Linked DNA regions of Struthio camelus. The protein of the gene in region 3 purifies or fractionates together with the protein of the main gene of each other region. This does not show direct contact. Links are inferred from orthologs where the notes say so. Each region holds a gene or a part of one and is shown on either strand. Other genes may lie near its edges. The genes, in order: SLC39A10, SLC30A1 and METTL9.

The links.
Region 1: the proteins of METTL9 (region 3) and SLC39A10 purify together in Homo sapiens (co-immunoprecipitation; 3 studies listed by BioGRID and IntAct, with this or other methods). This does not show direct contact. The link is inferred for Struthio camelus from reciprocal best matches to the Homo sapiens genes METTL9 and SLC39A10.
Region 2: the proteins of METTL9 (region 3) and SLC30A1 purify together in Homo sapiens (co-immunoprecipitation; 3 studies listed by BioGRID and IntAct, with this or other methods). This does not show direct contact. The link is inferred for Struthio camelus from reciprocal best matches to the Homo sapiens genes METTL9 and SLC30A1.

Annotation. Positions count from the first base shown.
Region 1 is NC_090947.1:12,521,038-12,531,331, forward strand, and holds the start of SLC39A10 (zinc transporter ZIP10), read right to left. Parts: upstream 4,335-10,294; 5' UTR 4,180-4,334; coding exon 4,171-4,179; intron 1-4,170. UniProt on the Homo sapiens protein: Zinc-influx transporter. When associated with SLC39A6, the heterodimer formed by SLC39A10 and SLC39A6 mediates cellular zinc uptake to trigger cells to undergo epithelial-to-mesenchymal transition (EMT).
Region 2 is NC_090944.1:113,827,996-113,838,219, reverse strand, and holds the start of SLC30A1 (proton-coupled zinc antiporter SLC30A1), read left to right. Parts: upstream 1-5,391; 5' UTR 5,392-5,492; coding exon 5,493-6,117; intron 6,118-9,666; coding exon 9,667-10,224. UniProt on the Homo sapiens protein: Zinc ion:proton antiporter that could function at the plasma membrane mediating zinc efflux from cells against its electrochemical gradient protecting them from intracellular zinc accumulation and toxicity.
Region 3 is NC_090956.1:9,314,805-9,325,212, reverse strand, and holds the start of METTL9 (protein-L-histidine N-pros-methyltransferase), read left to right. Parts: upstream 1-5,693; 5' UTR 5,694-5,811; coding exon 5,812-5,985; intron 5,986-6,341; exon of another isoform or gene 6,342-6,602; intron 6,603-10,155; coding exon 10,156-10,346; intron 10,347-10,408. UniProt on the Homo sapiens protein: Protein-histidine N-methyltransferase that specifically catalyzes 1-methylhistidine (pros-methylhistidine) methylation of target proteins.

The DNA.
Region 1 (10,294 bases), on a different chromosome or scaffold from region 3:
TGGAAAGTAACAAGCTATAGAAAAGGTAAAACAGTTATAGCCAGAGAAGAACGAAGCTCTTGTAGGTTATCAGGCAGCTGAGAGAGAAAAGACAACAGCTGAGTCATTCCTCCTCTGCAGCGAGGGATAAAAAGGTCAGAAAATGGAAAGATGAAGGATGAAGCAGCACAATGCAACACCTAGCAGATAAAAACAACTCCAATATAATGAACCCTCTTCCCCAGCATGGGTAGAACACCCTTCATATAATAATTTCAACATTCCTTCCTCTCACAAGCTTTTGAGACAGACAAGGAAATCACCATCTTCCCAGCCCTTCATGCTGGCCTCCAGCTTTTGAGTACTAAAATCTGCATGGGGTTTGGATTATCACAAGAGGTAACCAAACGCAAGTGACCTGGAACAGTTATTCTCTTTCCCCTTCACTCCGGGCTTATATTGCACGAAAAACCCTAGAGAAATAGTACTGATGCAGTAGCACACAGAACATTCTGAGTAAGGGGACTGACAAAGGGTTTATCTTTTTTTCCTTTAGAAGGATAATGCCTGGCCTACATTGTGTTTTCAGCATTCTGATCAGTTTCTGATACTAAAAAAAAAAAAAAAAAGTGGTTTTTTTGTAGCTTCACTTTATCACTTAATTGGCACACATTTCCTCATTAGACTTTATTCAATATATTTTAAATAACATCTCAGCTGCAACTGAAGAATGGCCTAGCTATGAAATTTATAAAGACAACCTGAATTCTTTCCACACCAGGTGTTACTTCAGGCCTCTATCAGCAAGCTAAAAATACTAGTTCTTACTTAAGATAACTTCAGCAGCCCACTCCCAATGATGAATACTCTTCATATACTAAAATTGTATTTTAAATGTTTGCTCTCTAAATTAAATTGGAAAAAAATCACACTGATTTTCTTTACAACAGGAGCAGAGAACAGAAGTTACTCCCAATAAGGCACGAATTCCTAGAACTCACAGAACTCACTCTTGTCCTTAAAGCTCAATTCTGTGAAAAGCATGCCTATACAAAGAAAACGTCAGTACTGCAATTTATCTGAGCTTCTTTCAAACTATCTCCTGAGATTAAACAAAAAAGGCAGGATGCAGTCATTTGACAATAACCAAATTTTAAGCAACCTGTATAATATGAATAAGTATGCAATTCCAATTGATAGGAAAAAAAAAAAAAAAAAAGTGAACTGCTTCCGAATCCTGACTGATTTCTCTTAAGCACCCATTAGACCGTTAAAAAAACTTTAATTTCTGCAAAACTGTAATAGATTTGCTCCTAGCCGTATCAGCTATACATTAAGAATAGAAGTATCTAAATTACAGTTTTTCGACTTGTTCAGTAAAGATCACAGAAGAAATCTATGCCAATCTGGATATATTCGTCTTTACTTCCCCAAGGGGGTATACTTATCTTAATTCATGTAAGTCAAACTATACAAAAGTGTATGTAAATACCTTTAGCATGGCTTCACAGTAAAAATTCAAAAGGAAGGGTTTATTAATATATAAGACCTAACTACCCTAAGTACTCAATAATTTTCTCTTGCTGAGAGAATTTTCAAGATCTAATTCTAGAAGACAAATATTGTGTTGTTCCAGGAGATGCGTGTGTATTGTACGTATGTCAGTTAAATCTTGGTTCAAGACTACCAGTTAAAAACGAGCACTTCCCAGCATAATAGTAGATCAATGTTATTATCAGGATCCATGCTTTTTTAACTGAAAGTAAGCTTTCTGGAACATTCCTAAATTATCAAGATGATTTATTTTCACTACGTATTTTTTATTGCAATGGGAGAAACAAATAAAAGATAGCTAAGGCTGTGATTGCATTTGCACCACTTTCTAAACTGTAACTTTTTTCTATTTGCACATTTTATGATTGTGTGGATACTTACTCCAAACTACGTATCTGATTTTGTCTTTTTTTTAAGCCAACCTCGAAAGTTCAGAAAGACTCACATGAAAACAAACAGTATTAACAAACCTCATTTTTTCAGAGAAAGTTTTCCGATGGGGAGAAATGCAGCGTTTCACTGTCCATTTTTCATGCACCATGTACCTTTAGATAACTTTTAACAGTGATTGTCAAACACATCTGGTAACAACCTGCTTCCTTCTTTTTTTTTCTTTTTTTTTTTTTTTTTTTAAAAGGAGAGCCATGATATTTTGAGTTTCTGATAATGTTTCTATGCTCGACAAACAACAGTCGTCGGTAAACATGGCCGAATCGATAACAGTTTCATTTTATGGATTTATTTATATTCCAGGTAGGTGACTGTGTACAATCCTTCTACACTTATTTTCTGTGAACACTAAGGCACGTTCCCCTACAGAATTCCCCACAATTAATCCTTGTAAAATATATACTATTCCTAGTCTACATACACGCTTTAGCCTCTTTTCCAAATAGAGTACCTAGCTGCAGCATTTTTTCCTCAAATCATATGAAAGTGATGAAAGCAGTTTAAAAAGAATCACTGCAGAAAACACTAAAATGAGCAGCTTTATTAATAACATTTATTTTAGAATAAAAGAAATAGTTAGAATAAGTGTAAATCACATTGGTTTTGACAATTCTCAGAAACCCCAAAGCTTTCCACAGAATTTTCTTATTCTCATACTGTGCAGAATATCAACCTAAGAAGTAATCATTAAGTGAAAGTGTTGTTTTGAGATTGGAGCCATATGCCTCAACAGTCCAAACTGAGTACCTGCTCCTTAATTCATCTAAGGGAAAGGAAAGCACATGTTTCAGTTAAAAAAGTGCGTTCTCCTTAAAACAGAACTTAATAAACTTCCTTTGTAAAGTCTAATGCAATACTTTTTTTTGAATAAAAAAAGTACAAAACAGCTGTACAAAAATTTTTTCCTATTTGAATGTTAGTCATTGCAACACTTACTATCCAAAGAAGCACCAGAAGGTATGAGTTGGAACTTTCCTTAACTAGACAGCCATCACTTCCAGGCTTCTGAAAACTGACCAGGCCTTCCAATGTGTATTTCTCAATGCTGTGTAAGGTTTCAGGTATCTCAGGTTCCCTCTGTATTAGGGTACGACATGCTGTCTTAACGGAAAACTGATGGTTGTTACTTACACACAAAGTACTTACAGAGACAGAAGTGATAATTATTTCTAACTCAGAAACTACTTAGGATACATCACAGAGGCAGGAGTTTAAGAAATAGCAGACATAACATTTTCTACAGAAGCCTTCCAACCCCCAATAAAAAAAGACAAAGATAACTGAAAACTTTAAAGAATAATTTTATTCTAAACAGTTTCAACACATGTATGCAATGGTTCCAAGAGACTCATCTTAAGCATTAAAAATAGGTGAGAAAAGCAAATCAGCTGTTCTTTTTGCTCCTTTTCTTCCTCAAGTAATTTTCTAGCTTTCCGTACCCTTTACCACTTCTTGTGACCAGAGGATATCTGTGTACGGTATACTACATCCCACGACCAAAGTCTCTCGACCTAGATCTCTTACCTTTGCTTATTTTGGATTACGAGCACGTTATGGTCTGAGTGCAATTTCTACAGTTGTAACGCTAACTAGGAACATCAAGCCAAGCAGGATGTAATGGTGGGGCTTGCTCATCAGCTGCAACCGCCGTATTGCCCCAAATACGGCCTAAACACTAAGACAGTCATTCAACATCCCCCTCCCGCGCACCATTTGTGCGCAGCTCTTTGAAGCACCCTCTGCGAAACGGAAGGGATGGCACCTCGTACCTTAACTCGGGGCCCCCACGTGGCCACAAAGAGACGGCACAATGATGGGGCATTGCCGGATTGAAGTGAGGAACACAGGAAGGGTGGAAGAGGGAAATGAAAGACCAAACACTAAGGAGCACTACGTGCAAAGACGCTCTGAGGCGACAAAAGCCTCCCAGGGACACCCCCGCCCCCCGCCCCGACAAAGCCAAGCCGGCGAGGGGCTCTGCCGCCCTACGCAGGGGCCTTGCTCGCTCGCCGGTCGCAGCGGGAGCCCGGCGGCGCCCCCCGCCCCCAACCAACCGCCGCATCCCGCCGCTTTCCCCCCCTCCCGCCTTCTCTCTCCGCCCAAAGCGGCGAGGGCAGTTACAGCCCCGCAGCCACCGCCACGTCCTAGTCCCCTCGTTACGGGGCAGGGGGGCGGGGAGGATTTTACCTGCCGCATGGTCGACTCAAGAGGAGGAGGAGGAGGAGGAGGAGGAGGAGGAGGAGGAAGAAAGGGGGATGCGCCAGGGCCGCGGCGGCGCCTCGTGCTCCGCTGCCTCGGAGCGGGACCGGGCACAGCCGCCCCCCCCTCCCCCGCAACGGCCGCCCCCAACGGCCCCCCGCGCCCGCGAGCGCAGCCCCCGGCCCCGCGGTGGGTCTCGCGGCCGCCACGTGACGAGGCGGCCGCGCCGCTGTGTCCCCCACACGCCGCTCCGCATCCCGCAGGAGGAGGTGTCCGTTACTACCGGCCGCCACCGGCTCCTTCTCCTCTTCAGCAACCCCTCCCCCCCGCCCCCCGCCGCCAGCCCGGGGCCGGCCGCCACCCTCACCGCAGCGCCGGCCGGTTGTGGGGGAGGGAATGTAAACAAATGGGGTTTTATAGCTACCTCACTCGAGTGCCGTGTGCATCTCCCTCTCCGCTCGGTACCAAACCGCCACGGCGCCTCCTCCTCCTCCTGCAGCTCCTGCCGCCGCCGATACGCTATTCACCAACCACGCTTACGCCAAACCCTGGAGCGCGCTCCACGCTCGCCCCCTACGCACCGTACGGATCAGGCTACACGGGCGCCCCCGCAGCCCGCTTCACCCAATGCGGAGCCATTTCCTCCCCTCCCCCCGCCTCCCCGGCTCCACCAGGGCCTACGAAAATGGCGTAGCACCCCCCCCAACCCCCCCCCCCCCCCGCAGCCGCTTGCGCTCATCACTCAAGCGATCGGGGCGGCGGCAGGCGGCGTGGCCGGGCCGGCGGGCCCGCACGGGGCGGGCGGCAAGGGGGGCGCAGGCCCGGGCCCCCGCTTTGGGCAGCCGCGGTGCCTGCGCCATCTGCGTGGAGGGAAGACGGTGCGGCAGGGTGGCCAACGGGGCCGGGGAGGCTCGGGCGGGGGGCGGCGGGACCCGCGGGCGGGGGGGGCGCGGTGCCGTTGGCGTAGCTATGGCGGCGACGAGAGGCATCAGGGTGCCTCTGCCCGAGAGCGGGGCAGTTTAACCCGGGGGCGGCGTGGTCCCGGCTGCAATTTTTTAAAGACTATACATTAATTTTTTTTTTCTGAACACCTGAGAACAGAGAGAAAGGTGTTTCGCGGATATAGTTTGGGTTTTCTAATACTCACTGATGCACCTGAGAGTGAGGTACGTATTATGCCTGAGAGAACTCCAGAGCGGCCTGTCAGGTTTACTCATGAAATAAAAGTACAACTTGTTTATCTAGGTGCTCAGTATAACTCCTCTTTGAGATGGAATCCTTAATCACAATATATTTGAGTACTAGATGAAGTGTTAACAGCTGTAGGACTCAAAAAAGGGAAAAATTAACACTTTATGTAAGAAACTGTAAGTTCACTAGAACAACGCTGAGGATTGATAGACGTTTTGGTTTATAACGTCAGGCCTACAATATTACAGGAATTCTTCACATCAAACACATTTAAAATACACTAGCTTGGTTTGTAATGGCTCTTTCTAGAAAGTATGCTCAACAATTGAAAGGTAATTCTTCACATTTCACAGGAAAAAAGTTATAAAATCTATGAGAAGTCTGCATGCAATTTTCATCATAGCTTCTCCAAAAAAATACCCAGTTTCCATACCAGACCTCAGGCTATAAGCAAACAAGCCCTTCCCCCTCCTTTTTTTTAAAAGGAAGTATGCATATTTTCTTTTAGAACCTCAAATGACTTAACAAACGTAATCCTCTCTAAACTTGCCCCTCTGTTAAACCATGGCTCACACCTGCACCACCCCACGCCCAGCCTGGCGGAGCCAGAGCCCAGTTTTATTCATGGTCCCATTTGAATGCAAACCTTATTCCACCATTATTCTACCCCTAACAGCCTCCCAAAATAATTAGGTGAATTTCTGCTTAGTGACATATCCCTAAAATACAGTAAGAGTTTAAAATACTAAAAACGTAGAGGATTAATAGTGTTAATTTAGAAACCAAAAGAATGTTGATATCCATAAAAAAAATATAAGCAGAAAACTGAAGTCACAGTGCAGAAGAAAACCAGAGTGCATTTTCCCAAATAAAATAACGTGCCTGTAAATATTTGTTATAATGCAAGTAATACCACAGATTCAGGCAGAGAAAGACACACAGAGCTATCACAATCAGTTCTCGATCTAAGACTCCATCAGCTTCGTGCCTTACACTACACCATTCTTTTGGTATGCAATGCTGAGTCTTCACTAAGCTTTTCCAGTTACTTCCCTTTTGGCCATCGGTTTCGTGTCTGACAGACCTTCCTAGCGACAGACTTTCTAATTTCAACATAACACCTTTTTCATTCCTTAGTATTTAGAAGAGGGAAAAAAAGTTATCATTTACCCCCTCAATTTTTCCAAGTATCTTCCCATATTAAACACTAGACTACAAATCATACTGGTCCAAAAATTTAACCACCACTGCTCAGTCCGAGTTTTAGGCATTCCTAAAACGATTATGAGGTGCTGTACGAGAAAGCTGCGCCGAAATCACACGCGTGTTGATTTGAATGATTTCTGGCTGAAAGCAAGTCCTTTATCTATCAGAACTTTTGTACAGCAAACACAATACAGATCTGATTCTGACGCGGTTCGCGGGACACCTATCACAATACCGACTGTTTATCACTAGGCTTGATTTGATTTCTGTTGTTGCTTGCTTTAGAAAGAAATCCACTGAACGCAAAGAATGTAAAATACATTTGTGTATCTTTTCCCTACATACATTAGAATTTATTATTAGAGTGCACAGTACATAACAGTAAAACACAGCTTAATGGGTTTGGTAGCGCTTCTTGTTAAAATGTAGATAAAGCAAAAATTACATAAAAAGCAAAATTAAGCACTCCAGTAAGAAAGAACATTTTAACTCATGAATTGAAATCAACACATTCAGTACCAAAAGGTCTATTAAAGTTTCAAGATTGATTTAGCACTCATTTTGTACCAGTTTTACTGCCTTTAGAGGACTTAAAGAAACATTTAGGGAAGTAGGTAAGGAAGCCTGTGTGAAGGCAATTTTGCCTTACTGTGAAGGTGGTGATATCACATAGCTACTTCCAGAGTTTCACCTGAAGAAGGTGTACCAATAAAGTATCTTTGTACTAGTGGCTTCTCTATGCTGGAGAGGTACTCCTCTTCAGCTGTCATATACTAACTCCAACATTATGTATTTTAAAGCCAGAAGGGACTATTGGTACAACTGATCTTGATTCCCATTTGTCACAGGACATTTCATTTCACTGTACTTGTACCGCGTCAGTAACTCGTGGAACCTTACCTTCCAAGAAGGTGGCGTTCATATACTACATGGTGGGGAATCCAAAACTTCTATCTCCTTACTTGTTAAGGAACAGGAGTTTCATTTGTATTTTGAGTTTGTCTGGCAATAGCTTTTTTGATTAAAGTGCTTGTTACAGCCTTTTATTGATATGTGCAAAAGCCTGCCTCAATCTAGAATCTTTTCCCTGTAGTTCTACGATGTCATATCTTGCAGTCAAGGTCACTGCTACGTAGTTTCAACCGTATATTTTAGTATAAGAACTGCCTGTACGTCAACACTTTAAAAAAAAAAAAAAAAAAAGAGTACGTTTACCCCATGTTTACAAACTAAGAACAAAAGCTATTAAATCAGGCATTACAATTACCAAAGCATGCAATTGAAAAGCATGCTTCCCTGCAAAGCACGTAAAACAACCTTCCATGTCCCGGGAAAACCTGTAGCCAGAAAACTTGTAGCCAGCCCTGACAGAGCGCTGGTATCTTGAGGCAACACAAACGGGTGTAACCGATCCAGATTAAGCTTTCAGCATTCAAGCATCAACTAGAATGACATGTTACTATGCTTTTAGAACAGAACTCTCTTTTTTCTCCTTTCATCTCACAAGGCTGTACTTGTTGAGTAGCACTGCCTGCAAGGTACGCTCATACACTGAGTCACAGGACGGCTATATATCCTAACAGGTAATGTGGAAGAGTTTGCAGTAAAATGCTGCAAAAGCAGAAGGCGGCCTCTACCCGGGTTCCTTCCTGGGATGGGGTGCTGTCTAGAGGCACATCTCCAGCTACAGTGCAGTGCGATGACCTTTTTCCCTTTCCAGTACCCGTGGACCTGATGCATTTGGTTAGCAGACTACAGTGTAAGTCCGCCAGCTGTGTCTGGCACAGAAGGTGATAAAGGAAAAGACAGGACACAGCGTTGTGCTACAAAGGTTTCTCCCTTTGTAACAATCTCGTGGCAGGTGAGGGATACAAGGTTGAGATACACACATGCTATTTTTATATATATATGTGTGTGTGTGAATTATACATATGTACATATGTATATACACATGCACAACCAGCTTACTGAGAAGCAAGTTTTTACTCCCTATCAAATTTAAAAAAGTAAAATTTAGACTTTGCTTCCTCTTACATCCAGTTATTAATTCTTTTCATTGGGGTTTATTTATATCCCGATACTGCATCTGACTGTAAGCAGAAGGAAGAATCTTGTGACTTCTTTGGGGAATTAGGAACAATAAGGTTGAAAAAGATTTTACCCAAGAGAAATTTACTTAGGAAGCTAGTAGTTGAAGGTGTTGACCCAGCTTCTGCTAAATAGCTGGGAGCAAAATGTTATAATTCGCTGCCAAATATCAAATTTTGTACCCCTAAAAGTACAAGTCTCTGGCAAATAGAACTTCTTTGGCTGAAGTGCCCAACTTCTTTTTCTTACTTTTGAAATACTGATGGTTCAAGAAAAAGCCAAGATGATAGCCCCCAAATGAACTTCCTTCTCTATTCAGAATCATTAGAACCCCTAAGTTTTGCCCCAGAGATTTCATCAGAAATGAGAGTGGTTCAATTGCCAGCTGACCTAGTTTTGTGTTTTTCACCTGTCACGTATGTTCTTCTAGCTTCTGTAGTAGCCTTTCATTCCTTCTGAGAAGCACAGTCAAAGTCAGATCTATTATTTCTTATTTAACAATGATCTGTAAGTATTAATCGACGTGCTAAAGAATTTCATGGGGATAACAAACGGCAGAATTAACCTTGGGGAGATGGAGCAACATGGCTACCTAGGCACAGTTCTTGTCAACACTCACCTGCCAAGCACCAAGATTTTAGCAATTTCCCCAGGAGTGAGCCAGCTTTACCACAAGAGGTTTCACTCAGAAATACGGCAACGAGAATACTTCACTGCTGAAGTGAAATATCAGGGAACCGTACAGAAGCCATCTTCCTTCCTCATTACATAATTTCCTAATCTGGATCTCAAAATATGCCCCATTGACCACCTCTCTCTCCGTCTTTGAGCTTACTGATGATGTACAATAGAAGCATATGCGGTTAATTTTACTGTACATATTTACTTCTACTTTCGATATCAAGTATAGTAGTTTGATATGTATTCATCCTCTCTGTGTCCTCTTATAAAACCAGAGGGTATCGAAGCCAGAAATCTGTGGTCCTGGCAGGGTCCTAAGTGAGAGTGCTTATGCATCAGGGTGATTTTAAGCATCACTACAAGCAAATAATGATTCTGCAATTAAAACTCCTGCTTAGAAAGAGACAGTGATTTGTTCTCAGGCATTGCACTGCCTCAGAACTATTTGGCTTGTTTGCAGTGACTGTAAAGGTCAGATTTAGTTACTCCAAGGAACTATATAAAAACAACACTTTCAGGAGAGGCTATACATGCTTTTCACACACTCCTGTTAAACTGGGTGATCTTGTTCTAGCCTTTCCTTAGCAAATTTGTTTACTAAGTTCTAATTGGTTTCAGCTGTATAAATTCCAATGATAATTCAAAGTAGATTTGGTTGGCTTTGCACCAATAAAAAGTATTGGTTGAAAGCTTTTTACTCATAAGATAGGACAAAAAACGAAAATGCATCCTTTTTTTTTTTTTTTTTTTTAAAAAAAACGAACAGTTCTTACCTCTCCTCTCCTACAAAAACATACACATACACCCCTGTAAAAATATACATGCATGGAGGCCTTGAAGCAAAATTACTGATGTCAATCCCACTTCATAATTTTAAATACGGTACTAGTTTAAATATTAACAGGAAATGAATTTAAATAGAAGTCAGGGTTTTTTTGATTATACC
Region 2 (10,224 bases), on a different chromosome or scaffold from region 3:
TAAATCTGCTTTCCTTAATCAGGATATAACACTGAATTTGACATGGAGCTATGTGAATAATAGTATTCACTTTTCATTTGTATTGTTTTCCATTGCAAGAAATAAACTTGTTTGTTTAGATAAGTGTACAGTGAACCTTTTTTTTGTCTTTGGTGTCGCTGGCTGGATCTAATTTGAAGAAACCTTGTAAGGACAGCTAACAGAGAGAGACGTTGCCCGCAAGAAACACAACCGAAAATGAACACTGACAGCCTTGAAGCGGAACAGGCAGAGGGAGTCATGCTTGCCAGTCCCACAAGCCTTTGTTAAAAAGCAGGGACAGGTCTGATGACTGCACAGAAAGGGAACAAGTTAGGTGTTAAAAGGAGGCAGTGTGCTCCGTGATATGTGACTGCGCAGGGGTTTATAGACGGCGTTTCACCTTTTCCGAGCGGAAAAGGCACATAGCCATGAAGTGCCCTTTGTGGCTGAGCTCTCTCCACTTACAAATTTGCACAGAAATTCAAAGGAAAAAGAAGTGACTTTGTTTACTCAGCAAACATGCTGAGTAACAGTGAATCTCCCAACCAAAGTCCCATTCTTCCCACAGCGCTCAGCTGACTTAGTCGGGAGTTCAGGAGCACTCAGGGCGGAATGTTTTCTGCAGAGCAGGCAATGAGATGAAGCTCTGTCTAGCCTTTTCCCACCTTGCCATCCAGTTCTGGGGCAGTACGAAGGTGCACATGGGAGGTTCAGAGTTGCTTCTCCCCTCAGAACACATTTTCAATAAGCAAATACATTTGGAAGCTGCTTATTCCACATGCGTGGACTGGAAGGTGAACCGAGAGACGAACTGGGTGAGTCACAAACAGTGCCTGGAAGCCTTAAGAAAAAAAAAAAAAAAAGCGGAGCCCTCCCTGCTTTGAAGACATAGCATTCTTCTCAAATACTTAAGCAGGAACAAAATGTTCTCCTGTAAGCACACTGCCTTATGGCTTGCTTTGGGTAAAGACTTGATTGATAAAGGTGACCTTTATCAGTCACTTTCCTATTAGACCTACAATTTAAAAGGTTGCCACATGGACAGTCCTAAATTTAGGAACCGTCCCTGTTCCTGTTGGTTGCTAATGTATGGTAACACAATAGAAAAGCCTGGGAAGAACAGTGTAGCGCACTCTAGTTTATGAGAAAGACTCCAGGGCGAAGGTAGGGATGCGAGCTCATGTCTGCTCCAGCTGCCGGTCTGTGCCTGACATCCAGGAGCGGCACTCTGGGCAGTGGCACACGTCGGGGATTACAGGTACCCAAGTCTCTTTACTTGAAGGGAACCAAGATAACGGAGGGGCTGGGTCCACCGGGATCCCCTGAGACAAAGCTGCACGCCCAGCCCTGCTCATCAGGGAGCAGAAGGCCTGAGGATACGTTGTCACCTCCTGCCTGGGAAGGATTCATGGCCTCCCACTCCCTTGAGGTGTATAGTCCATGTCTTGTGGCTTTTGGTCCCCGGAGGATTTCAGAATTCAGCCTGGTGGAGGGTGGAGGAGGAGGAAGACAGGCAGGCTATCCCTGGGCAAGGGCAGAACATGCCATCTTGTAAGGAGAAGATGGCAGCAAATTGTGCGCTCGTATGGTATGCTCGAGTGGATTAGGAGGACTTGTGGTGAAGAGATGTTAAAGGGATTACAAACCGATCTGGATATTGTTACTATATAAGAAATGATACAAAAAAAAGTCATAACCCCCTTCCTATAAGTCAGGCAAAACTCTTCATGAAGTTTGTGTTCAATGTTGATTAAGTTCTATTGGTAAGGATGGTACTGCTTTATTGCTATCCTATATCTCTGAGGTAGAGACCCGGTACTTCCAGTCGTTAGGAAGACTGTAACGACATCACTGGGGCAACCAACTAACAGTTTCAGTAATCCCCGAAGTCCAGCACGTGAGAGACATCAGACTTTGAAATTCCTTGTTCTTCCCACTTCCCTAGTTAAATTCCATTGGCTCAACACTGAATCCCTGTAAAATGATAACCCTCCCTACCTGCAGGAATTTTAAAGGGCTTGAGCTGCAGTAGTTTTCTTGACCTATATTTCCTAAATTCTGATAATCCTTCCTTATTAACTAATGGCGTCTTGTGGGGGCGAGAAGGACAGAACATGGGCATGTTCCATTTTAGTATAATTGATGGTCAGCTTCCTGACTACAAATAACATCTTATTAAATGGTATTAGGGCATACGGGAAGAGAGGTACATGAAAAGAACGTTATATATAGTTATATCTAATTACTGCCTCTCTTACCAGTACTGTTTACGGTGGTCATTAAAGCATTCCATATGGTTTCCTACAGCTGAACAACTGAAAACATTTGACATATAAACAGTCTCACAGAAAATGGGGTTCAGGGCCATAGGTCAGCACTGTGGCAACTGTAGTGCCTAAGCTGTGTGTATGTTGTAAAGACTATGACACTGCAGAGTAAGGGGAGAGGAGGAAATGGCATGCAAGGATGAGAGCAACAAGGGAGACAGATGTGGATTCAGTAGGAGTCTGCTGAGTGTAGCGGAAGCCAATCCTGAGCTACAGATTTCAGTTATGCTTGTTGATAATCTGTTCTTGTGGAAGTGTCAACGCCTCCCGCCACTTAACTAATGAGATGAAACTAGCTTTCCAGCTCCAGCCGCCAGGGACCTTTGTATAGACCCTAAATCATGGTCCCTTCCGAAACTCCAAGCATAGCAAGAGGCTTTTGTGTTCTCGTTACATCTTCTTTGTGGAGCATCATAGTTTTCACATTGCCTCCATATACTCATACATACAGCTACAGCTGTACAGCTACAAATAGCTACGGCAGTTTGTTTCCTCTCGCTTCATTTTCCATTTATGGAACGCCCTTGGACAATTTCTTGCTACCTTGTTGGTTGGCCCCGTGGAACACGGTAGATAAAGTAAGATGTCATCGCTGGAGCTCATCTGGACCCTTCCCATTCAATGTGCTGCTCAGCTCACTGCAGTGGGCTGAGGCACACAAGTCCTAAGCCCTGCTCAAACAAACTAAAAACAGAAAAACAAATTCATGAAAAGATGTAAAATGATGAACTTGCTGCCATTTCAAGGATATGAAACAGAAGTTCTTGGTACGTTTTTCTTACATTTTTGTGATTTTTTTCTAGATGTTTCAAAATATTTGTTTAAACATCTGTTTCCCCTTTTCTCTCATTTTTAATTGCAACACATTCAATAAAATGAATAGTATCTAGGGACTTATCTGTTAGTGTGTGTGTGTGTATATATATATATATATATATATATATATACATTTTTTTTGTGACATTACAGCCTTTCAAAACTTCCTCAAGAAAAATTACTTCCTTCTTCTCTCCACATTTTTAACCATAAATGATTACTCATTAATTATTATTTCCTCACCACTCATTCTATTGCTTTCTGTGGCAAAAAAAGAGAAAAATTGGATGTTTACCATGCAGAGGGTAGGAGCATCCAGGATGCTCAGGAATGATGATATCAAAACACTGATTAAATTTGTATTAGTTGTTGACTTATACCACATACAGGAATGAGTGAAGTAATTAGATGCCACTTCTTGATATTTGCTACTCCCAGTCATATGTTTTAAAAATCTTAATAACACTTATCCAACAGTTTAGAACTCTGTACAGGGAAGAAGCAACTAATGGAGATGGAAGACCACGTGTCCGTACCCCAGAACAGAGATGTACTCACCACTCAGTGATGACAGTGCCTGGCTGGTGATTTTCAGGCTGGGGCGGGTGCAATAAAGTGTGAGGGGGCATAGGAAAGATCACAGATTAACAAGAATAACGTATGTAATGCATTCAACATAACTTTGCTGCTGCGTGAGCAATCGAATTAACAGCCAGTTGCAAGAAACATCATCCTGCCTCAGCTGCCTCCCGGAAAACCACCTTTCTTTCTGCCCAGTGGGAGCCACTGCAGAAACTCCTGGGCGCTCAGGCTGCTGGAGGCGAACGATGAAACACAGGGGCACCACGGCACCTGTCACCGCACCGCTCTCGCCTTCTGCTTTGCTTTCACTGACAGCTCCAAAACTTCAGGCTAGCAACGGAGTCTTTCACTTGGCTGCACGGTGGTGCCGGGGAGCGGGGAAAGGGGCTGTTGCATTTGTGGGAGTTAGACGTAAGCGTAACACTACTTTCTTCCCAACTCATGGCGAGCGTAACGTTTCAGCGACGCCCGCTCACAGGACGGGGCGGACCGCGGGGGTCAGAAGAGCCCGGCGCCGAGGTGTGGCTAGGGGAAGGACGGCGGGGGGGCCTTGGACGAGAGCTGGGCTGCGAGCGATAGCCGCGGGGCTGGACGTACCGCTGTGAAGCCTGTGGCAGCTGTTAAACGGGAGCAGGGATTTGGCCGGGTTGGGGATGGGTGCTGCTCGACTGCCGGTTGCGAGCAGGCGGGGGGGGAGGTGGGAGGTGCAGAGGGGCCGTGGCCGGGTTGCAGCCTTCCCCGGTGCCTTGGGACCGGCGAGGAAGGCGCTGCTCCTTCTCGCGTTTGTCGTCCGACAGAACGAAAAAAAGCTCAGCTGGGAGGAGGGGCTTCAGCGGCTCGCGGGGAGGGGGCAGCCTGAAGGCACCGGCGGACGAGGGGCCGGCGGCCAGAGCCCGCGCCGACAGAGAGCCGGTCGGTGCCGGAGGGGCCGGCTGGCCGCGGCGCCGGGGCTCCCGCACCGGCCCGGGCCGCAGAGCCGGCCGCCGCCACCCCCGGGTCCCGGCCGCCCCCGGGCAGCCGTTGCTGCCCGCAACGGCCCCGCGTGACGTCACAAAGGCCCCCCACCCCGCCTCGCGTGGCTCGCCGCAATGGAACGGAATGGAGCGGAGCCCCCCCTCCCCTCCCCTCCCTCCGCCCGGCGCGGCCCGCCCGCAGGCGAGCCCCGCCCCCCCGCGCGCGCCGGGCCGGGGCCGTGTGAAGCGCACCTTTTGCACGAGTCCCGCTCGCCGCGGGAGGGGAGGGAGGGGGGAAGAGAAGCCGACCGGCTCTGCCAACCGCAGCCCGCTCTGCGGCTACGTCACGCGCAGCCCCGCCCCCCCTCGCCCCGGCCCCGCCCAGCGCCGTGGTGCGGCCGCGGCCAACGGGCGGCGCTGGGGGGCGGGGGCCGGCCGTCGCGAGGGCGAGCGGGCCAATGGCGGGAGAGGCGGGGGGCGGGGGCGGGCCGGCGCCGCCGGGCGGGGGGGGCGGCGGCCAATGGGGCGCGGGCGGGGGGGCGTGGCCGTGCCGGCTCGGGTTCCGTGTGGAAAGAGTGAGGGGGCTCGGGTGCAAAGTTTGCTCGCCGAGCGGCTGCGGAGGGAGCGGCGGCGGCCGGGCCGCCGGGGGCGGGGAGGGGGCCGCGCGCGCGCTCGGGGCTCCGCCGCCGCGCCCAGGGACCGTTGGCCGCGCCAACCGCCGGCGGCGGCGGCTCCTCGCTCTCCTCGCGCCTGCTCCGCTCCGCGCCGCGCCGGCGGCCGCTGCCCCGCCGCGATGTGCGGGGGGATGGCGGCGAAGGGGCCGGGCGGGCCGCGGTGGTGGCAGAACCGGCGGGCCCGGCTGCTGTGCATGCTGGCGCTCACCTTCCTCTTCTTCGTGGTGGAGGTGGTGGTGAGCCGGGTCACGTCGTCGCTGGCCATGCTCTCCGACTCCTTCCACATGCTCTCCGATGTCATGGCCCTGGTCGTGGCGCTGGTGGCCGTGCGCTTCGCCCAGCGCACCCGCGCCACCAAGAAGAACACCTTCGGGTGGGTGCGGGCCGAGGTGATGGGCGCCCTCGTCAACGCCGTCTTCCTCACCGCCCTCTGCTTCACCATCCTGCTGGAGGCCATCGAGCGCTTCACGGAGCCCCACGAGATCCAGCAGCCGCTCGTGGTCATCGGCGTGGGGGTGGCAGGACTCATCATCAACCTGCTGGGGCTCTGCCTCTTCAACCACCACGGAGTCGGGGGCCACGGCCACGGCCACGGGCACTCGCACAGCGGCAGGCAGCACCCTCGCGGCGGCCCCAAGCCCGAGCAGCCGCCTGCGGACGGGGATGCTGCCCTGCACCGGGAGGAGACCAGCACCTTGGTGGAGAACTGCAGCAGCTCCAACGGAGTCAGCCAGGAGAAGCTAGGTAAGCCCTGTGGCACCTCTGCCCCCTCCCATTCCGCCCAGCATAGACGTGTCGGGAAAAGGGGAGAGGTCTTTTCCCCAAGGAAAGTGGTGGGCACCCCACTGCCACCTGACACAGGCTTCGTGGGAACCATCTCCTTGCTAGTAGGGGAGAGGCAAGAAAGTTTCTTGTCGGTGCTCTGGGGCTCACGATAGTTGCACCTCTACGCATTTTCTGCAAGCGCCACAAAGCCCGCCTTAAATTGTGTCCTCGTCTTGTAGACAGGGCAGCATGCAGAGGAGTCTTAGGATAACCCAGTGTGCCCTGGGAAAAGTTGATGCTGGTGGAGAAGGCGCATGACAAATGTTTCTGCCTAGCAACACAAGCTGTCACAAGACATTGCCCTAATGCCTTCTGAACTGGCTGTACATCAAATAGAGTACAGCTCAACACCTTGGTCCTGACAGTCAGATATCTCTTGAGTTGGTTATTAGCTACCTGAGAAATGTTCTCACTTTGAAGTGAAGTATACATATTGAAGTATTTTCCATTATAACAGTGTTGTGCTTCTTCAGGATAAGCTTATTAGTAGGAAGAAATCTTGGAAATGTGAGTCAGAACTGTGGAAGTCATATAATAGGTGCTGAATGTGGAGCTTGCTGGTTTCAAAGTGCAGGCATGTTTCTTTGAGTTAGTTTTCCTTTAGCTCCCTACTGCGTGCAGCTTCCCTCTCACTTGCGTGCATACATAAACTTAAAATGTCCCCAGTTCTGATCATGCTGTCTCTTCTGTGGGAGGGAATTTCTTTCATTATTTTTTAATGACTCCAAAGGCCTGGACAGTTTATTCTGAAGTCACTTGGTCAAAGCCAAGTGCTGCCTACTAGCCGAGTGAAAGGTATGTAATTACCAGTTCCCTACTTTAATCATATGACAACCCCGTTACAGCATGGAAAGGGTTTCAGTGCCCATGTTTCTCCCTTATGTTCAGGGTGATATCAGGAGACCATTGTTTTAGATTAAATTGAGCTTACTTGTACAGAGTGAACTTTGATACAGTTTTGGTATTTCTGTGGTCAGAGGCTCCATTACACATTTGAGAAACTTAGAAGTTTCTCTCTCTCTCTCCTCTCTCTGTCTTTTCTTTAGTATTTTGGCTCCATGTTGCTTTTGAAAAGTCAGATATTGAAAGAGGATAGGAAAGTTCTCCTGAATACATTACACCATTTTTCTGACTGCATAATAAGCCTCTTAATACTGTGTCGGTCGCAAGGTAGGTATCCTAATAATTAGTTTCAAACAATGTAAAATTCATTTGGCCATTAATCTAATTGATATCTAAAGTCGTGCATTGTCCTTGCATAGTGAAACCTGAGTTGTGCTTTTAGCTAAATTTTTGACTAGTTCTCTGTTAAAAGATTGAATTCTAGTATGGATTAAAGTATACATTGTGTTCGGCTAACTTCTCTGCAGTTTCTCAGGAATATAGTTCTGGCAATAGAGAATAATTTGCTGTGGGTATTTAGTATGTAATAGGACATAGTTTTGGTCATGTGTTAAATTTTCAAATAAGTGTGTATGTCCTCTAGGCCATGTCATGATTATGTTATGGATTGAGTTATTCATGGTTAACCTGTGAAAATGTTACAGGTGCTTGAAGTCTTAGGCTGTAAGATGTGTGAGTGAAGACTAGGGAAATGACTGACAGTAGCATTATGCCTTCATTGGAAATTACAAATGGGGGTAAGCCCCGTTTTCTTAAGGTTGAAGTGGAAATGGAATGATAGCCTGGGGGCTAGTACTGTGCAGGTAATCTTTATGCACACACTTTCTATAAAGTAATCAGTTTATAGTTAAATTAAAATGAGACATATTTCAAATTGACGGATTTTAACCAGTTGCCATTAAAAAAAAATCTCAAGAGCTTCCTGGAACTGTATTTCCTGTCATCCACCCCTTATGGATAGGTCTACTGACTTTCCGAATCTGCTTTGATCCAAGCACTTGGTACACTGCACAGTGTCAGAAAAGGTCGTCTTTGTTCTCATTGTGAAGCCAGAGGTCTGAACTCTGTAACCTCAGATATCTTCCTCTAATTTATTGACTTCTACTGGAAAGTTACAGGTTCTAGTGATATTTCCATATTCCATAACTTCTGGAGGTTGTATGGAAAATGTAGCTGGAGCTTTAGGACTGAAGTGTGATATACGGCGTAATGAATCTTGGGCTTGGAACGTTTCCGTTCAGCCTTCTTTGTTGTGAACCCACCTCCTCCTTAAATAAGAAACAACTTGTAGACGCTTTTATGATTACAGAACCATAGCCATGATAGCGGAGTGGCAAAAGCTATAGGTCATACTAACATGTTAATGTTTACAAAGCTCTAAAGTGAATAACCCTGACTGCAGTAAGAAGTCCTTGTTTCAGTTTTTAAGGCCAGTAGCCAGTTCCCATTAGATTTCTTTAACACTGCAAGTTTTCTGTCCAAAGAAGAACTTCTGAAGAAAAGTTAGAGGTTAATTGTGTAAAATACTTTCAGTTACTAAGGTTGGAAAATATTTTTCTTTGAAGAGTTTGACAGTGCCTCTTTGAGGTGATGTGTGCATTTATTCCTCTGTAACTAGTTAGATGTGATAGAGTGGTGGTATCAAAGACACTTTTGACAAAGAAGGGTACTGCCATGTATGTTTGTGCATTACATGGTTCATGACACGTGGTTTTGGACATGAACACCTGTATGTCACTTTAAAAAAAAGTATTTTAAAGCAAGTACCAAAAATACATCTGCTTGTGTATTCTGATCTATAAAGAATACTCGTTCATGGCCTTTGACGACTTCGGAGATTGTACTGTATTTCAGATTTGTATTGTCCCATAGTCAATGCTATTGATAAATCTTGCATTTTAGATCTAAAAGCTTAGCTCAGTGCATCAGTTCTGCTGGTTGCATGCCCCATCTCAGAAAAGCTTCCTTATACTTGAATTCAGAAGTCTTTTGAAAATGAATCCCCTAAACCTGAAGAGAAGTGACTGTGAAGTATCCATACAGCTTTTGAACTTCTCGCCTCATAAATTTTAATATAAAATGGAAATGCACTCCTATGGCTTAAGAGAGATTTTAGCAACGTGATTATCCTTCTGGCTTTTCAAAAGGGGGAACAAATAAATCATAAGTTACTTAGCTACTTATCCAGCTTGTATAAGCTCTGTAATTCTGCATTCTGTTTAAGGAATGAACAGTAATTAATCAATTGCTTAAACAGCTGGAAAACGTGAAACCAGTTTTCAGTAAAATAAACTAAAATGCATTCATCTTCATACTTTGCCACTATACATTTTTTAAGCTCCCTATAGAAACCATTACCCTCTAGAATATCTCGATCATTTATTGGGACAACTGAATATTTCTCAGCCAGAGAAAATGTTGCTAAGTGTTGGGGGCCGAGTTGCTTGTTTTCTAGTTCTGTATCGAATATGGCAAACATATATTGATTATTATTCTATATGGAATTGCAGTAATGTTGTGTAGTGCTCTAGCACGTGTCTAATCATTTTCCTGTTTTCTTGTCAGGGGATATGAAAGACGACATGGCTGACCTACAAGTTAATGGGAATGCTGGTCATTACTCTCTGGATGTAGAGGAGGTTGAAGAAGACTCTAGTGCGCAGCTTAACATGCGTGGAGTTTTTCTGCATGTTTTTGGAGATGCCTTAGGTTCAGTAATTGTGGTGGTGAATGCCTTGCTCTTTTATAGTTTGTGGAATCCATGCCCCAGAGATGGGCCCTGCATTAATCCATGTGTCAATAGCCATTGCATGGAAAATGCTACTTTATCCCAACCACTTGGCAAAACTAACCAGTCTGAGCCAGAGAGCATTATGGTGGCTGGTCCATGCTGGCTACTATATTTAGATCCTGTCCTTTGTTTGATTATGGTTTGTATACTCCTTTACACAACTTATCCGTTACTTAGGGAGTCAGCCCTTATACTTCTGCAGACTGTTCCCAAACAAATAGATGTTCATTCTTTGAACTCAAAGTTACGTACCCTTGAAGGAGTTGAAGCAGTCCATGAATTACACATTTGGCAACTAGCTGGTAGTAGGATCATTGGCACTGCTCACATAA
Region 3 (10,408 bases):
TAGATAATCCATATTGAGCAACAATGGTTTTCAAATTGTGTAATGATGAGACGTTGGGTATCTACCGCCTTAATTTTTTCTTTGTTTTGCCTGGTGAGACATAAGTTTAGGACCACCTCTCTTCCTGAGTGCCAGTTACTTGAAAGTACAAGAAGATGCACTTTACGTGTCTAGACTTTGGTTGACCCAGCTCATTTCTACGGCTCTACGTTTATCATCATCATAGATAATTTGGAAGAGAAAGGAATGTAAGAATTTGATGTGCGTTTTGGTGGACACTGGCCTAACTGAATTAAGAGGTGTGAGATTTGACATAGCAATCTTGGAAAAAATAGATATTCTTTTGTGCCTCAGTTTTTCCATTTGCAGAGTAGAAACAACTTTGTTGCCCCACTTTTTGTAACGTGCAAAGTGCTTTCCAATCTGTGAGTGAAAAAGTGGGATATTGTTGTTAAACATTACTGAGAAATCCAAACGAACCTTAGGATATGAAGATTTATGTTAAAATGTAAGAAGCCAGAAGTGTGATGAAGTTAAGTTGCATTTATCTGTTTTTTATCTCTGCTTTGCCAGAGATACCATTATTGATTTGCACCGTAGATGCTAATAACATTATGCACACATACAAGTGTCACATGTATTTACATATCCAAACAACATTTGCAAAAGTACTAGAACAGACATGGGCTGCATGTTTACGTTCTGTATTTTAAAAGATGCACTGTCTTGTCTATATGATTTTGCTGCCTGGTGACAGTGATCTATTTTTAAAAACCAATAGCATGATTTGATTGTTAGCTAGGAATCCCCGTCATTCTTATTGTTTTGTGGATGTGGTTACTGAAGGAGAAAAATCGGAAGGAATTTACATTAACCTAGACTTTGAGCCATTATATGAAACTGTTTTCTCCCTGACCACTCCTTTCAAGGTGGCCATAAATAATTTACAATAGTTTTATTTTTATTTAGTTTCTCTGACAGTATTTCCCAATTTTCACGTGTTTATCCTTTTTCCTACAGAATATATATTTTCTGCTAGGAGAAAATGTTATTGCTTCATAAATACGGTGTTTCTTAGATGACTGCATTTATTAGTTTGTTCTAATAGAAAGTTACTAGAATACAGCGTTCAACCAGGAAAGTACCGTGCTATACAACAGGAAAGCTAATAAGCGACTTTAACAATCAAAAACATACCAAGAAGTCTTTGAAACGGTCAGAATCAATTTATCTGGAAAATGTTTGGTAAAGCTACCGTTTTATTTGATCAAGTAAAGGCTGAAGGCATAGCTTGAATAGTCTCTTTAAACTGCTGTATCTTCAGAATTAAGATAGGAGAAGTAAAGAGTCAAAAATTTTTAAATGAGACTGCCTTAAAAATGGGGAATTAACTGTGCAGAATAACTGTGTTGAGCAAAGAAAACCTAGAAATACAATGCGAATAATTTAACAGGTAAAATAGTAGTTAAATCTACAAATGACTAAAGTATACTAATCTCCCTTTGTCTGTCCTATTTCTCTTGCTAAGAGGACAAGAAAAAAGCACCTTTCATCACAGCAAGGGTCAAACCAAAAGGGAGCTGGCAAACTGGTTAAATTCAGGCCGTAGTCTTAATCCAAGAATTAGCAATAGAAGATTGACAGTACGCTATGATTGACATCGCTTATTCTCCATTTCTCTGCCATCCACTAAACTTTGTTATCCTTTATTAAACCTACATGATTGTTTTTGGCCATGAATCAAGTAAATGATGATCAAATGCGAAAGTACAGTGTCTTGCAGCAGCTGGTTTGTCTGCCTTCACTCCCCATTAGCTAACAGTATCTGAGCTTGAAGTCTTCCTGCTGGAAAAATGCCACAATTTAATCTTGATAATTTAAGAGTGTCTAAAATAGCCTCATAATTGACAGAGAAGATTTAGATGTGTATAATATGAAACAGAAACATTATGATAACTTCACGGAGTTAGAAGCTTGATGCTTGAATCCCATTACTTCATAGAGTTTCCGTACAGGTTCTCAGAATTTAGATCTTAATACACTGAATGAATCTTATTTATTGGAAGTCAATAGGTAAAGGTGTCTGTTGGATTTAAAAGGATGTTATATAATAGACACGACAGAATGCTAGTCTAATCATAAAGTAGTAATATAATATGTGGTTAGTGATGGAGTGAAAACAGATCGAATAAAGGACAACAAAAGTATCGAATTTTAAGTAGGAAAGAATTAGATTTATATTTTGTGGAGGTTACAGTCCTGTCTCTGTTCTCTTCTTGTACAAAATGACCTTCCCAGTCTCCTGCTGTGCTGATTTTGGAACTGCTCAGTAATTCATGAATAATGCTATGTTGACATGGTTAGTAGGATGTTTACATTTGAATATAGTTGTATAGCTTAATGGGGGCTGTCAGGAAAGACAAAGCAGGAAGGGAAAGGAACAGTTAAGATAAGCCACATCTCCACAAATACTTAGGAGCTCTTTCTTACAGTATTATGTCAGCTCAGGAAAAAGCTTAATAACACATGCAATGAAAAAAAATTCTAGCAGATTTTATAAAGGAACATAGAGCTGAGACTGGGGGAGCTGTCAGGCGTTGTCTGAGAGAGCTGGATGATCGAACCCACAGGCACCAGGAGGCATGGGTGAAGAAAATGGGCTTCCTAGGTTACTTTGGGAAAGGGGATTTTAGGTAAGGTATCTGTGTTTGTTTAACTTAAAGCCCTCTTTCTGGTAATCATTTTCTTACTACTACTTAAATAACAAAAGCAAAGGTTGTTTTATTGCTCTGCTTGATTGGGAAGACTGCAGATTTACATCCTAGAATACATGAAGCTGTGGAGCTAGCTAGCTTGTGGAGCTGTGTGAATCCTGCTCCAGAAGACAAGGTTCCCTGTGATCACCACAAAGCGCACGCAATCGTCTTAAAAACACTCCTTTATAGGTAAGTATTCAAACCTTTGGATATGTTTTGGACCTTTTGGACCCTTGGTATTAAATAAAATATAGAATTTTCCCAACATGAAGAAGAGGTATCTAAAAAAATGAGGAGAAACAAGGAAGAAATACGATTATATTTTTTTTCTGCAAATCCTCCCCCAACCGTGCTAATTGCTTTGAATGATATATGCATACATTTATACAAAGAACAGTTTTCTGAGATTGTCCAACAATTGATACAGGTTATAATTCCATCAGCATATGTGCAAATGACAGTGCATCAAAATTATTGCCTAAATGTGCATGAATAGTACATTTTTTATAGCTTGTCAAGAGAAAAAATATGCTTAGTATACAACTACCAGAGTAGAATATTAATGACCAATGTAATACAGAGTAGGAACTTTGGAACATCTCATTAAAACATACCCAGGTTGTATAATAACAATACAGAGATGAAAACTAGCATATTTCTTAATTTATTCAGTATGCAACTCATTATCTGTATATTTCTTGTGATAACATTAAGATACATTTCCTTGTGAACCACATGCAACTAACCAGAGGCAATTTTATTTAGTGGTTTACACGTTGCAAGCAGATGTCTGTTTAAAAAGCAGCAAATTTTGCTTTGTCATTTTCAATTTTGATTATAAAGCTGTTTTATCCCGGGGGGGAAAATAAGCTAATCTGTCTTTACAAACAAGAAGATACATAGAAAGGAAAGTCCTGATCCTAAACCAAATAAGTAGTAGTAGACCGAAAAGGCATCTTGCCCGTCTAGCTAGTGGAGAAAAATGAATCTTTGTCTGGAAAAGTGTCCAAAGCTCTCACATCAAAAACTCTCCTTAAGGAGGCTGAACATCAGTGAAAATAAACTGAACAGAAAAAATCCTCTGGCAGTATTTTGTCGTTGCTCTGGTTTTCTTATTTCCCAAGCTAACCAAGGTTGGATTTTATTAGTGCTTGATCAGAGGATCTTCCCGGTAGAAGTCAGGATCCTTGTGGTGGTTTGACTTTGTGTCATCCTTACCAGGAAAATAAGGGGCTAGGCTCCAGCCTTTCAAATCTGATCAAAAGGAAAGATGCCAATTGCTTGTGTTCATTAGGAAAAAAATGTCTGAGAGACTAGAGACGATAGCCCTGATGCCGTACTCAGCTGGAATTTGATTAATGAGATGGGCTTTGTCTAGGTTTTCTTTCTTTCAGTTGGATGTGGTATTCCTCACTTTCCGTGCTACTACCATGAGTAACCTGCGTTTATTAGAGAGTAATTGGGCACAGTGATATAAAACCTAACCCAAACCCACAGAAACTAATGCTCTTGTCCTAACAAAGGCATAAGCTACTGTATTAAATGCCAGAAGGCTTTTATCCAGCTTGACCTGTCCCAGATTAAGATGTTTTGATAAGCGTTGTCTGTTCCAGGCTGTTCTGCCGGGGGTATTAGCTGCATTCAGCACGCGTTTTCCTCCGCTGGTCTCCGCTGTGCCCCCACGCTCCCAGGCACACAACCACGCGGGAGCCTGACTCTCAAGTTCCCGTTTTCCTACCTACGCACTGACTTCTCCTTCCTCTGCATGGATACCCCACCGCTTCAGGAAGACGTTCAGGAACCAAGCTGACCTCAGATCCGTCTGCTCTAAACACTAACTGTGCTCCTGCCGCAGAACCAAGGCTGCAAATTTGAGAGACCTTTTTAGGTCAAAACATTGCAAGAATCCCACGCTAGCAGCAACGGTTTGCTTCGAGCCATTGCAAAATAGTTACAAGAAAAAAATGCAGTGTTTGAGGACTTGAAGCCAGATTTCGTATCAAAAGACGTGTAGGCTTCCATTTGTACGCAGAAGCGCCTGTCAAAGAGCCGACTCCGTAACGACCAATTTATCTTTAAGCGCTTATGTTTGGGGCTGTGCACACATCTCGACGCCTCAGTGCTGGCCGACCTTAGTGCTGCGCCTACCAGAAGAAGGGAATGGAAACAAAACAACAGGTAAAGCACCGCTTCCATCCATACTACTGCAGCGGCCAGGCGTTTCTCAAACTGAGGCCCTAATCCCAACGCTTTACACCTTAATGAGGGCAACGAGGGGCAGAAAGCCCAGCGCGCCAGGCGCTGGGGGAAACCGCCGCTCCCCAACGGCGCGCCGCCCTAGGCGGCAGCTCGTCCTCCCTTGGAAACTCCCCCCCCCCCCCCCCGGTTAAAGGAAAGCGGGAGCGGGCGCCCCGGGGAGGCCGCGCCGTTTGGGCTCTTCCGCCCCGAGGAGGCGACGCGCCGCAGAGCGGCCGCGCTGGGGCCGCCCGGGCCTCGTGTGGCGACGGCGCCGCCTCGCGCCCCTCCCCCACCCCCGCTCTGCGCAGGCGCGGGAGGAGAGGAGAGGGGAGGGCGGCACGCGCCCGCCAGCCGCCGCCCGGGCGACGGGGCGGGGCGGCGCCGAGCACGTGCGCGGCAGGGGGGCGGCCGGCGCCCGCCTCCGCTGAGGGGAGGAGCGCGCGCGCGCCGCTCCTGCCGGCGATGCCCGGAGGGGAGGGACGAGCCGCCGCCGCTGCCGCCATTGTACCCCGCTCCGGTTTGAAAGCGGCGGCCCCTGCCGCGCCGCGGCCCCGCCCGCGCTGTGATTGGCGAGCCAGAGGGAGGCAGCCGGCGCGTGCCAGGCCCCCGGCGTGTCGCAGCCGAGCCGTCCGGGCGGCCCGCGCTGCCGCGGCGCCCCGCGTTCCGCCCCGCGCCTGTGCGCGGGCCCCGAAGGGGAGCCGGGCCGGGCCGAGCCGAGCGCGGCGGGTCGCGTGCTGCTGGCGCCGCCGCCGCCGCCGCCATGGCGAGGGGAGGCGGCGGCAGCGGGAGGGGGTGACCGCGCGCCCCTGCCCCCCTCATGAGACTGTGGCTGGGCTGGCTGGGCTGCTACACGCTGCTGCTGTGGGCGCTGCGGAGGAGGATGTGGTCTGGCCCCGCCAGGTACCTGCGGAGCCCTTTATCCAGGTCCCTCTACGCCAACATGATGGGCAGCCACAGCCCGCCGGCGCCGGGCACCAGCGAGAGCCACCAGGTACCAGCGGGGGCGGCGGCCGGGGGCCGGGCGGGCTCCTGAGGCGGCGGCGGCGGCGGCGGGGCGGGCAGCGCCAGACAAAGGGAGGGTCCCGCTGCGCCCGCCCCGCCGCCGAGCCGGGGGTGCGCCGGGGGCCGCGGCGGCGGCGGAGCCCCCCCTCCCGGCGGGGCGAGCCCGGCGGCCGCGGCTGCGAGCCGGGTGTCAAACCCGGCCGGCGAGAGCGGCGGCAGCACCCGCCCCTGGCGGTCCCGTGTCGTGTCCCCCCCCCGCGCCGGGAGCTGCCTGAGTAACCGGCGGCCGGAGGACGCGCAGGTGGCGGGGGCGGGGTGGGGCCGCAGCCGCGTTTGGGTTCGTACCGGGGCGTCTGGAGACAAACAGCCCGAAACAGCGGCGAGGAGGGAAGCTGCAAAGCCGGCCGAGGCCTTGAACTGCCGGTAGCGGAAGGCGAGCTGGAAACGGAGGTGGCGATGTGATCCGGCGGCGAGAAAGGGCGAGCGGAGCTGTTGGGCGGCGCAGGCGGCGAGCAGCACCGCCCGCGGGGCCCTGGGGCCCGGCCCGGCCCCGGTGCTGGGACGCGCTCGGGCCCGGGCTGCGCTCCTGAAAACCCGGCGGCGCTTGAGAAGCGCTGGTCATGACCGCTGCAGCGCCGAAGGAAGGGGCTGACTTATTCTAAGGAAAATCCGCATAGCCCAGCTAACGAAGAAGACGTAACCCGAAATACTCGAGGGATGCTGACAAAAGGAAGGACGTGATTATACGCTGTAACTCTTCGAGCTGATGCGTTACTGTTTTAGCTTTGTTAGTGCTCAAGGTGGGTGCTAACACCGGGGATCTTGCTGCTGAGCGAATAGATTACTGCTGTTTGGATCGTTCGGTACGTAAAGGGGAGGATGGAAGCAGAATTTAGCTTTCCAGCGCAAACTTTCTTCCTGCGAACAAAGAAAACGTGCAGTTCTTTTCTGTTGTTAAAAACTGTACTAGAAAGACGAGGAGATAAGAACACGGGCCACGGAGGTGATTATTTCATTCACAGGTAGATAGATGGTCTGCAGTGGATAGTCTCCATCTCTAATGTATAGGATCTGGGTTTTAAACTTCAAGTATTGATTGTTTAGTGAGTTCTTAAAGATCGGTTACCGAGTTTGTGGGGTTACCCTCAGAAGTAAGGGTTGCATGTTGACCCGCAGGTACTTTCACTCTCTGAAGTTTTACTGAGTTCCTCAGTTTTACATTAGTTAACGGAAATGGTATTTTCTTCCTTTCATTAATATTAGGCAAGAGTTGCCAATAATAATTTTTATTATAACAAAGGTCTTCACAAATTTCTCTTCAGATTTCTTTGATGCGCTGTAGTATTTCTACTATTGTGCTATACCAGATTGGTACAGATTGATGTTGTGAGACTAGTGGCCTGAAAAGGGCTCCTTGCATTTTGGACAAGGAGAAAAACAAAAGGAATTTCTGTTTTGAGGAAGTAGTTCCAGAACGAAGCTTTCTTTCCTTACTTTTGTTATTTGAAATTTGTATTGTTTTTATCCTGGGCACTTTTTGCTTATAGTTTCCTGATATTTCTAATACTCACTAGCGTTATATCGGCAGTTATAAACGTTTTAACCGATAACCTTATGCAAGGTAAGCTTTAACTATGAAGAAGGAGGAGGAGGGCTATGAGCAATCCCTAATTTCTGGAAATATGCTTCCCTTCTCAAAGGGGCTCCTCTTCTCAAAGTTGCCACCATCATCATTCTTCCAGTGGTTATATCAATATATATCAATATTTGGAAATCTTGAAGACAAAAGACTGTTGGTTTCCATGGCTTCCATGGCTGGATCCTGGAACTACAGATGATGAGATTCAGTGCAGAACCAAGGTTTATGAATAAGCTCAGGGACAGCACATACGTAGTCACGTTACTTACGGATCAAAGCCCGTGATTCCCAAACTTCTGATGCTTTATACACCACCTTCTGGATTGAAAATGGCAGCGCAAGGTAGATGTTCTGAGCCACTCCAAGCCTGTGCAGTGCAGCTAGGCAGCAGCCTCATGAACAGCTGCTGAACCTGACCCATATCCCAGCCTGCTCCTCAGCTCCCTGGGATTGTTCACTTCTGCCAGACTTTTGAAATTGGTTTCCAGAGCTGGATGGACAAAACATGCAGGCTGCTGCTTTGGTGCTTTTTCACAATTCGCTGACAATTCCTTTTGGGAATCACTGGTCTGTGCTGGTTCACTCACTTCATACTGTGCTGCCGCGAGAGAAGACCCAAACTGGTAAATGGGCTGTCATGGGGATCCTTGTGCCATGCTGCGTCGTGTGATACAGACTTGCTCAAAGTCTAGTTTTTAGAGGGATGGATCATCTACTCGTGCTACCTACAAATGCTGTTGGGAAGCACTGTTTGAGAGCCCAGTTCTGCAGGGAGGTACGCAACGTGCAAGTTTTCGAAATAGACCTGTGCAGGCATATATTTGCTCCCTTGGCTGAAGGGTATGGAAATACCTTGTTACTTTGGGGTCTGTGTCTGATGGAGCTGCTGTTTATCAATCTGGCACAATGATCTTGTTGCAGCTGTCTACTCCCCTCTGTTTGTTGGCACTGTTACTGTGAAGCAGCAGGATACTGGAATACGAATCCTGTACTGTTGTTATTTGTATTACAGTAGTGACCAGCAGTCCCATTGTGCTGAACATGGTGTAAACATGCATTAAGTGACTTCCTCTCCCAACAAGTAACAACAAGCTTTTGTTTGTTTGTTTAATATTGGGCAGTTACCCCAGCTGACCTCTTGCTCTCCTTCCAGATGCATTTTTATAGGATTCTATTAAAACTCTCCACTCCTCCTTAAGATACAGCTCTCTACCTGTATGGTGAATACATGCAACCAGGGTAGAGAACGTTCTTGCAAGATCTGAGGGGAAGATAGCAGAAGAGGGCTTTGGCTATAGGCAGCAATTCTTGGTAATAGGAAACAAACACAATGGCATTAGAGATTCTACAAGAAGAGCTGTCAGTAACTCTGTGCATAAGCGTGGGAGACACTGAAATAGAATAGTGACATTCTTAATTAAAATTATAATTAAACAGTTGTAGCACACACCTGTTGAGTTGAGGGGAATTATTAAGTCTGACATTACAGACTAGCAGTGAGCAGCCTTTTGACTGTTTTGAATCAGTGCTGGCCTTCTAACATCGCAGTATTTCTGTAGGGCTGTCTTGTTTTGCACACGTTTCTTAAATTTAAAATGATGTAAACACAGTAAGTGTTAAAGGAGGAGTTTAGCAATGGCTTACACACAAATAACAAAATGTTAGGATGTGGTTTGGTTTATTTTACTTTTCCAGATAGATTTGATAGGAAAAAGTACCACCCTTTTTCTTCAGAATTAGCTGAATAATAACTTGCGTATCAGAGCGAGTTTGTAGTTCGTATTGGAGTAGTTGTTACCAGGTGACACAAGGTGAAAGGAACCACTAGTCCGTTTTAACTTGTCTACCCTTAGAAAAGTATAGTGCTGCCTTCCGACTGATCCTGATGACTTCTTGGATGATGTGGGAAGCTTCCTGTTCATGCAGCTTCCTCACATCATCTCTACTAAACAGATAATGGTTTCGAATGACTTGTGAATGTGCTTGTTGGCACTAGTCTGTGAGGAAGTGTTGTCCATCAGCCATACAAGACAGACAAGCAGTTGCTTAAAGTGTTGATTGGATTCCTCATCTCCTTTCCTGGAAAAATACTGCAAACACACCGTCCTGGTTTCTTTTCAGAGGATGCCTAGTGAAAAGCTGAGAGTGAGTTGGAAGACAGAAAACAGTGTTACCCACTTCCACTACCCTGTTTTACCAGAGTGGTGCTATTCTGTAGTGGACCTGTGTTTGCTTTCTAGGAAAGCTGCTCTGTAAAATTCTTCAAAGTACAGGGTAATAGTTAAGGCAAAAATTAAAAGTATTGTTTCTTAGTAATTGGACTTTGTTTGATTACAGCTCACATCTAATGTAAATAGATCTTAAAGTTTATTTAAAAATCTTTAGGAAAAACTGAATTTTGATATTTATAGAACAGCTTGATACTAGCCCTCTGAAAGTTTACTTTTTTTTTTTTTTTTTTAAAACAACTTCTGTTTTTATATTGCTGAACTTTTAATGTTCCTTTGTCTCTTTCTCTAGTGGTATGTCTGCAACACAGAACAGTTGTCCGAATCCCTTCAGCCTATTTTTGTCCAGAGTTACCTTGACCAAGGAACACAGATCTTCTTAAACAACAGCATTGAGAAATCAGGCTGGCTCTTTATCCAGCTCTATCACTCTTTTGTGTCCTCAATTTTTAGCCTCTTTATGTCTAGGACATCTATCAATGGGTAAGTGAAAAGTCAATCTTGGGTAAACTAAGTACATTTTGGATTTAAGTTTTTTCAAATGT